Saccharomyces cerevisiae S288C: one gene and its partner. The protein of the gene in region 1 purifies or fractionates together with the protein of each later gene. This does not show direct contact. Each region holds a gene or a part of one and is shown on either strand. Other genes may lie near its edges. The genes, in order: EFT1 and HGH1.

What was found.
Region 2: the proteins of EFT1 (region 1) and HGH1 purify together in Saccharomyces cerevisiae (affinity purification with mass spectrometry; 3 studies listed by BioGRID, with this or other methods). This does not show direct contact.

What each region holds. Positions count from the first base shown.
Region 1 is NC_001147.6:573,544-578,449, forward strand, and holds EFT1 (elongation factor 2), read left to right. Parts: upstream 1-1,554; coding exon 1,555-4,083; downstream 4,084-4,906. Other genes in the region: retromer subunit VPS17, read left to right, coding at 1-1,287. UniProt on the Saccharomyces cerevisiae protein: Catalyzes the GTP-dependent ribosomal translocation step during translation elongation.
Region 2 is NC_001139.9:869,409-873,210, forward strand, and holds HGH1 (Hgh1p), read right to left. Parts: upstream 2,009-3,802; coding exon 824-2,008; downstream 1-823. Other genes in the region: transcription factor IIF subunit TFG1, read left to right, coding at 1-573; protein kinase BUB1, read right to left, coding at 2,636-3,802.

The DNA of each region.
Region 1 (4,906 bases):
AAGAAAGAGAATCCGACTATTATATTTGATTGCTCCACAAATTTGCCAACATTTCGCAAACAACAATACAAGAATGTCAAAAAATCATACGAAGAATTCCACCAATTGTTCAAATATCTGAATGTTGCCATTCAGGAATCTTTTGTTCCTACTCTTCCCTCTGCGTATACTACATTCGGAATTAATAGCGAAGAAGATAGGATGAAAGTAACGCGAAATTTCCAACTTTGGTTTAACAGGCTATCGCAAGACCCCTTAATTATTCGGAATGAAGAAGTGGCCTTTTTCATTGAAAGTGACTTTAATACGTACACACCCATCAACAAGTCCAAATCACTCGCATCTGGGTTGAAAAGAAAAACATTGAAACAATTAGCACCTCCATATGATGAAATCACAGAATTAGCAGAATTCCGGCCATTAGTCAAGTCTATATATGTTGTTTCTCAGAGCTTGCAAGAAAAACTGCTAAGAGTTTCCAGAAATCGCAAGATGATGGTTCAAGAAGAAAATGCCTTCGGCCAGGATTTCGTTAATCTAGATGAGCACAATAAACTTTACAGAAGATACGGTAAAATATTGACTGCTGTGGGTGATATTGATAGCATTATAGCAACCATGGACATGGCGACATTGTACGATGGTTTAGAGTGGATTGTCAGAGATGCTTATGCCGTGAAGGAAGCATTGACCAACAGGCATTTTATCATGCGAAATCTAGTACAGGCACAGCAGAATTCAAAGGCGAAACAGGAACAAGCACGCAGGTTCCGGTCAAGAAGAGATATTAACCCTATGAAAATCGATGAAGCACTACGTCAGTTGAAAGCTGCAGCTAAAAACGAACAAGTTTTGACCCTTAAGCTTCAACGAATCACGTCCAACATGATTATCGAGAGAAAACAGTGGATTAGCTGGTATGAAGAATGGATAAGAAGCTCGATCAAAGAATTTACACTAAGAAAGATAGAGTATGAAAGAAAGAAGCTGACGTTACTAGAACGAGTACGTTCTGATATCAGAAAAGCTGATGAAAACGGAGGTTTGTCACGTCTAGGACGCCATGCTGTCTCAAACAACAACTCCGATACTTCTCAAACCCTTAAAGGGGACAGTTGGACGGGAGAGAGCAACCGCAAAAGTCAAATCCCCATCAACAAGATCGCTCATACCGAATTTGATGATGAACTATTCACTGAAGACGATGGGTACAACTCTCAGGACTCAGACACTACATCACTGAATGCGCGCCATGCTGCTTCACTTTTGGGCATGTCCACTAAATAATACGTATATAAAGTAGAAAATTCATACCTTTGAACAAGGTGATCTTTTTCCTTTAGTTGATATTAATCCCGGGTAAACTTCCGTGTTGCACTTTTAAAATTTTTTTTCAAATCTCACCTAGAAAATTTTTTTTTGCCATGAGCCTTCCTTTAATTAATCTCAATTGCATACTACTGTTGTATTAAACGCTTCACTGGTTTTTTTACTTAACCCCATTTGCCAGAAAGCCAGACCTACGCACCCAAGAATTTTTAATAACAGATAAAAATGGTTGCTTTCACTGTTGACCAAATGCGTTCTTTAATGGACAAAGTTACCAATGTGCGTAACATGTCCGTTATTGCTCACGTCGATCATGGTAAGTCCACTTTGACCGATTCCTTGGTCCAAAGAGCCGGTATTATTTCCGCTGCTAAGGCTGGTGAAGCTCGTTTCACCGATACCAGAAAGGATGAACAAGAAAGAGGTATCACTATCAAGTCTACCGCTATTTCTCTATACTCTGAAATGTCTGACGAAGATGTCAAGGAAATCAAGCAAAAGACCGACGGTAACTCCTTCTTGATCAACTTGATCGACTCTCCAGGTCACGTTGACTTCTCCTCTGAAGTTACTGCCGCTTTACGTGTCACTGACGGTGCTTTGGTTGTCGTCGACACCATTGAAGGTGTCTGTGTCCAAACCGAAACTGTTTTGAGACAAGCTTTGGGTGAAAGAATCAAGCCTGTTGTTGTTATCAACAAGGTCGACAGAGCTTTGTTGGAATTGCAAGTTTCTAAGGAAGATTTATACCAAACCTTTGCCAGAACTGTTGAATCCGTTAACGTCATCGTTTCCACCTACGCCGATGAAGTTTTGGGTGATGTCCAAGTTTACCCAGCCAGAGGTACCGTTGCCTTCGGTTCCGGTTTGCACGGTTGGGCTTTCACTATCCGTCAATTCGCCACCAGATATGCTAAGAAATTCGGTGTCGACAAGGCCAAGATGATGGACAGATTATGGGGTGACTCTTTCTTCAACCCAAAGACCAAGAAGTGGACCAACAAGGACACTGATGCTGAAGGTAAGCCATTGGAAAGAGCTTTCAACATGTTCATCTTGGACCCAATCTTCAGATTATTCACTGCTATCATGAACTTCAAGAAAGACGAAATTCCAGTTTTGCTAGAAAAGTTGGAAATTGTCTTGAAGGGTGACGAAAAGGACTTGGAAGGTAAGGCCTTGTTGAAGGTTGTTATGAGAAAGTTCTTGCCAGCTGCCGATGCCTTATTGGAAATGATTGTCTTGCACTTGCCATCTCCAGTCACTGCTCAAGCCTACAGAGCTGAACAATTATACGAAGGTCCAGCTGACGATGCCAACTGTATTGCTATCAAGAACTGTGATCCAAAGGCTGATTTGATGTTGTACGTCTCCAAGATGGTGCCAACCTCTGATAAGGGTAGATTCTACGCCTTCGGTAGAGTTTTTGCCGGTACTGTTAAGTCCGGTCAAAAGGTCAGAATCCAAGGTCCAAACTACGTTCCAGGTAAGAAGGACGATTTGTTCATCAAGGCCATTCAAAGAGTTGTTTTGATGATGGGTAGATTTGTCGAACCAATCGATGACTGTCCAGCCGGTAACATTATCGGTTTAGTCGGTATCGATCAATTCTTGTTGAAGACTGGTACTTTGACCACCAGTGAAACTGCTCACAACATGAAGGTCATGAAATTCTCTGTCTCTCCAGTTGTGCAAGTCGCTGTCGAAGTCAAGAACGCTAACGACTTACCAAAATTGGTCGAAGGTTTGAAGAGATTGTCCAAGTCTGATCCATGTGTCTTGACCTATATGTCTGAATCCGGTGAACATATCGTTGCTGGTACCGGTGAATTGCATTTGGAAATTTGTTTGCAAGATTTGGAACACGACCACGCTGGTGTTCCATTGAAGATCTCCCCACCAGTTGTCGCTTACAGAGAAACTGTTGAAAGTGAATCTTCTCAAACTGCTTTGTCCAAGTCTCCAAACAAGCATAACAGAATCTACTTGAAGGCTGAACCAATTGACGAAGAAGTCTCTTTGGCTATTGAAAACGGTATCATCAACCCAAGAGATGATTTCAAGGCCAGAGCTAGAATCATGGCTGACGACTACGGTTGGGATGTCACCGATGCCAGAAAGATCTGGTGTTTCGGTCCAGACGGTAACGGTCCAAACTTGGTTATTGACCAAACTAAGGCTGTCCAATACTTGCACGAAATCAAGGATTCCGTTGTTGCTGCTTTCCAATGGGCTACCAAGGAAGGTCCAATTTTCGGTGAAGAAATGAGATCTGTCAGAGTTAACATTTTGGATGTTACTTTACATGCCGATGCTATCCACAGAGGTGGTGGTCAAATCATCCCAACCATGAGAAGAGCTACTTACGCCGGTTTCTTGTTGGCTGATCCAAAGATCCAAGAACCAGTTTTCTTGGTCGAAATTCAATGTCCAGAACAAGCCGTCGGTGGTATCTACTCCGTCTTAAACAAGAAGAGAGGTCAAGTCGTTTCTGAAGAACAAAGACCAGGTACTCCATTGTTTACCGTCAAGGCCTACTTGCCAGTTAACGAATCTTTCGGTTTCACTGGTGAATTGAGACAAGCTACCGGTGGTCAAGCTTTCCCACAAATGGTTTTCGACCATTGGTCCACTTTAGGTTCTGACCCATTGGACCCAACCTCTAAGGCTGGTGAAATTGTTCTTGCTGCTCGTAAGAGACACGGTATGAAGGAAGAAGTTCCAGGCTGGCAAGAATATTACGACAAATTGTAAGAAGTCTAAATGAGAAAAGGTGGTTCTGTAAGAGCAAACCTTACCGCCTTATGATCTTTTTCATTTATTCTCTGCTTTAAAATTTTGTCGTAATAAAAATAGTATGGTAATAGACTTATATATTATTTTCTTACACATTTTTGTCATATAGTTATATTCCGAATGTTTACAATCGAACCCATCATAAAAATGGACCTTTTCGTATTACCGCCCCCTTTGTAGAGGGGGAGGAACGGCAACTTCTTGACTATTACGACGTATCACCACCCCGTTAGATATACTATGGAAAAAACTATTAAAAACCATTATAATTCATTAATGACATCGGTCCTGAGGTAGTATTACGTATAACTTACCTGGCTCTTGGTCATAGCTTTTTATCCGTTTACGAAAAAAGGAGAAGAAGATTGGGCTTCCGCGGCTATTGTTTGGTTTATACCCCGCCGTATGTTGGTGCTTCTATAATTAGAGCGAAATAGGAAATACAAAAAATCCTTGGAGGGGAGGACCAGCCTCATCGGGCTAAAACTCCCTCAAAACCGGAGGGGCAACCAAAGTATATATCTCATTATGGCCGATACTTCTAGAGGCGCACTAACAGAAGCACCTCAGCCCCTGCAGGTGAAAGAAAGAGGTAATTAATTTTCCGGTTACTTACTTTCTCTCGCTATTGGGGAAAGCGTTGGTTCGAGGCGTTGAGGTCGAAGACAATCATTGTTTTCTTCTTATTTAAGTACATCTTTAGAAGAAAATTACACAACTGGAATGAGTAAATCAATACTTGCTTTGTGTTCCCATTGTTAGATACTCTTGTTTTAGCATG
Region 2 (3,802 bases), on another chromosome or scaffold:
GCACTATACTCATCGGATGAAAATGAGATCAACCCATACTTATCTGAATCCGATATTGAAAACAAAGAGAATGAATCGCCCGTTAAAAAGGAAGAAGATTCGGACACTCTATCCAAATCCAAGAGATCTTCTCCAAAGAAACAGCAAAAGAAAGCTACAAATGCGCATGTGCATAAAGAGCCAACTTTGAGGGTGAAAAGTATTAAAAACTGTGTCATTATCTTGAAGGGGGATAAGAAAATACTGAAAAGCTTCCCAGAGGGAGAATGGAATCCACAGACGACAAAAGCTGTAGATAGTAGTAATAATGCATCGAATACAGTGCCTTCGCCAATCAAACAAGAGGAAGGCTTGAATTCTACAGTGGCAGAAAGGGAAGAAACTCCAGCGCCTACAATAACAGAAAAAGATATCATCGAGGCTATTGGTGATGGCAAAGTCAATATCAAAGAGTTTGGAAAGTTCATCAGAAGAAAATATCCTGGCGCAGAGAATAAAAAGCTAATGTTTGCCATTGTAAAAAAATTGTGTCGAAAGGTTGGCAATGACCACATGGAATTAAAGAAAGAGTAGGTTAGTTTATAATGTTATGTACTTAATAGGTTATTTAGTTTTCGTTCTTTTCATTCTTTCCTTTTTCTTTCCATTTAATCTTATGTAGTTACATTATACTGTCATTTTAGTTGCAGTAAGTATACTTTTTTATCTAGTCTTTTTTTCTGCCTTTTTTTTGAGAAAAGACTCAGAATTCTACTAAACTCTAATATATTGTTATTTCTGTATTATACAATTCTATGCTATGTGAACTGTCCTTGAAAGTGACCTAGGCCACTTCGACAATTTCATCTTCTTCGTCGTCATCTTCTTCTTCTTCACTCTCCTCCTCTTCTTCCTCTTCCGCATTCTTTGATGGCATCTCTTCCACTGCTCCCGCACCTGGCTCGCCTCTCATTAACATATTAACAATTCTGTAACATAATTCACCAATATCTTCATTCTCAACGTTTTTATGCAGCTCCCTCACTAGTGGATAAACGGACTTGTCTCTTAAGTATTCTCTTCCAGCATGCGTTGTACATAGCAAAAGAATACTTTCTAAATGACAGCATATAATTGCAGGAATCGGGTCTCTTTCCTTGTCCTCTGGTAATAATTGAAGTTCATCTGGTAAATTGAACATATCTTCCTCATCAATTTCAGAATCTTTAGCACTAGCAATAGGTAGCAGGATGTAAGGCAACAAGTTTATTTTTTCATCTTTGAGTAACCTTTCATGAGTTTCAGAATCAAATAGGGAATTTTTAATTGTGGAAGCGACACCTTCTCTTCTTACCTTTGCATCATATTTTTCGGTAAATACTAGCAATTTTGAAATAGGAACAACCCCATCGTATTCCTGCTCTTCAATAAAATACATCCTGCCCAATTTAAACCTCGAGATATCCGCAAAAAAAAAGGCTAAATAATTGAAACTGGCATATTTTGTTAATTTTTTATCATAACCCTTAACAAAGCAATCCATTAAACAATCCATGGCTCTCAAACTTTTGAAAACTTCTTTATTTAAAGCTGCTAACTTCAAACCATCATCGACCTCCTCACCGCTTGAATTCCTTTTGATATTCAGAACAGCAAGAATGCCGTCATCCTTGGCTAAGTTGCTTAATAAGATACACATTATATCGGCATTTGGATTGGTTAAATCGACAATTTTCCAAACCAAAAATTTTAAGAACTTCTTGTCATCGCTCAATATAATATTTCTTACTAACTTGTCTTCAGATAAATTGACCAATATAGTGACACCTTGCTGAATAATAACACGGGTGCCGTGTTCTGGATCCATGATCATTTTTATTATATCCTTAATGGGTCTGTAGCTATCATTTTTGAAAACTTTTGAAGTGGGACCAGCACTAAATCCAACTAGATTATCAATGGCAATCTGTCTTACGGCAGGTTGTGGTGAATGCAGAAATTCCACTAATTCATTCAATTGTGAAGTCATCACTCAATTTTTTGTTGATTTTTTTGAGCTATTTTTAATTTTTAAATTAAATTGATACCGTTTTAAGAAGAATAAACTTGTCGTTATTAGAGTAGGTGCGTCATAAATTGATGGATGAGATGAGAGAGCTCAATATGAAAAAATGAAAAAAAAAAAAATTTGAAAAAGCCCTTCGAGGAAGAATAGGGAAAAATCTACAATAATAATTATCGTCTGGGGTGATAACAGAACACATCGAAAGGTAGCACTACCAGTAACATCCCAATTGGCTCTGCAGCTATTAGATGAAATATACTGCGAATTGCGAATCAAGACATCTATTTTTTATTCTTGTTAGTTTTCGCGGTAACAAGTGGAGCAATTGCTACATACTCGATGTATGAAGAGCTTCAGTAAAATAATATCATAACATTATCGCCATTTTTTTGGTACTTGTTTTTCCATAAGTGACAGATGTCAAGATTAAAAAAGAATATATTTACTCAACCTGAGAACCTGCTAGTTTTATATTACCTTTTATATATTAATGTTACAATTGGCTCTACCTGAAGTTGTGTTGTCATTGCTATGGAATCTGGCAGGACACCAAAAAGTCACCTATGCGGGAGATGAAGGCATATTTATTCACTAAAATCTCCTTGACGGTTTCCCCTTATATTGAAAATGTGATAACTCCTCTTCAATGCTTAGAATTACGTTTCTTAAGTGATTTTCTGCGTGCTGTTCCAGATGGCTTTCTATCAAATTCCTTATTTCAACAATCTTTTCAGTCATCGGCAAAGCTTGATTGGAAGCTTGACCGCTATTTAACAGTAAATCAAATATAACGCCCCATATTTCTTTTTTCCAATACCTTTTGAATGGGTTCTTCAATTTGCATCGTCCATTCTGCAGCTGGATTGTTTCTATGAATTTTCCAAAAAGCATCGAATGTATGACGCCTGCTAATCCATAATAATCCGCTTCATAACTCCATGGCTTGCCCGCACGCATTTCCCAGCAATCTTGCTGATCAGCCTTCCAATTTGATTTGAATTTCGTTCCAGGTGGTAACAGTGTCATATCAAATGATCTACCGAAATCTATTAAATAGATTCCCTTGTTTTCCCAGCCATCCTCTCCATTGCGCATATAATGAGCACCCAGGGGTTCGCCTGGTTTTTCTAATCTGATCATGCAGTTATCTGGTTTCAAATCGCCATGTATTATTCCCACTTCATGTATCTTTTCAAGTACTTTCATTAGCTCGACAGTGATAAACATGCACAAATATTCATCCATTATTCCGTTGCCGTCAATTGCCTTTTCCCGTTGTAAATTAATTAAATCCAAGACCGTACCTTGACTGGCGTAGTTTAAAACAAGGTAGCTCTCATCAAGGAACAAGTGTAAAGCACTAGCGTTGATTATTGACTTTAATATTGTGCTCTTCCTCAACCTAAACTCCACTTGGCTCATTATGTAATATTCCCATACACTTGCAGGTTTTTCTACTTTCAACGCTCGCAGATGTCCTTGACTAGATTCTGCTAGATATACAGTGGCATAACCTCCTTCGCCTAATTCTCCGCGTATACAATATAAATCACCCGTCTTCTTGAAGTCAACAATTGGGTTCTTGTTTTCGTTGCGGGATACCCTATGGATTTTTTTCAATAGAGAACTCATTTTCAATTCTTGGTTGTAGTTATAAAAGGTGTTATATTGGAATAATGGGGGCGAAATTTCGGATAAAAACTTCGCTCTTAAATTATTACTAAGTGGGTTTTCAATAATGACAGGCGGTTGATTTTT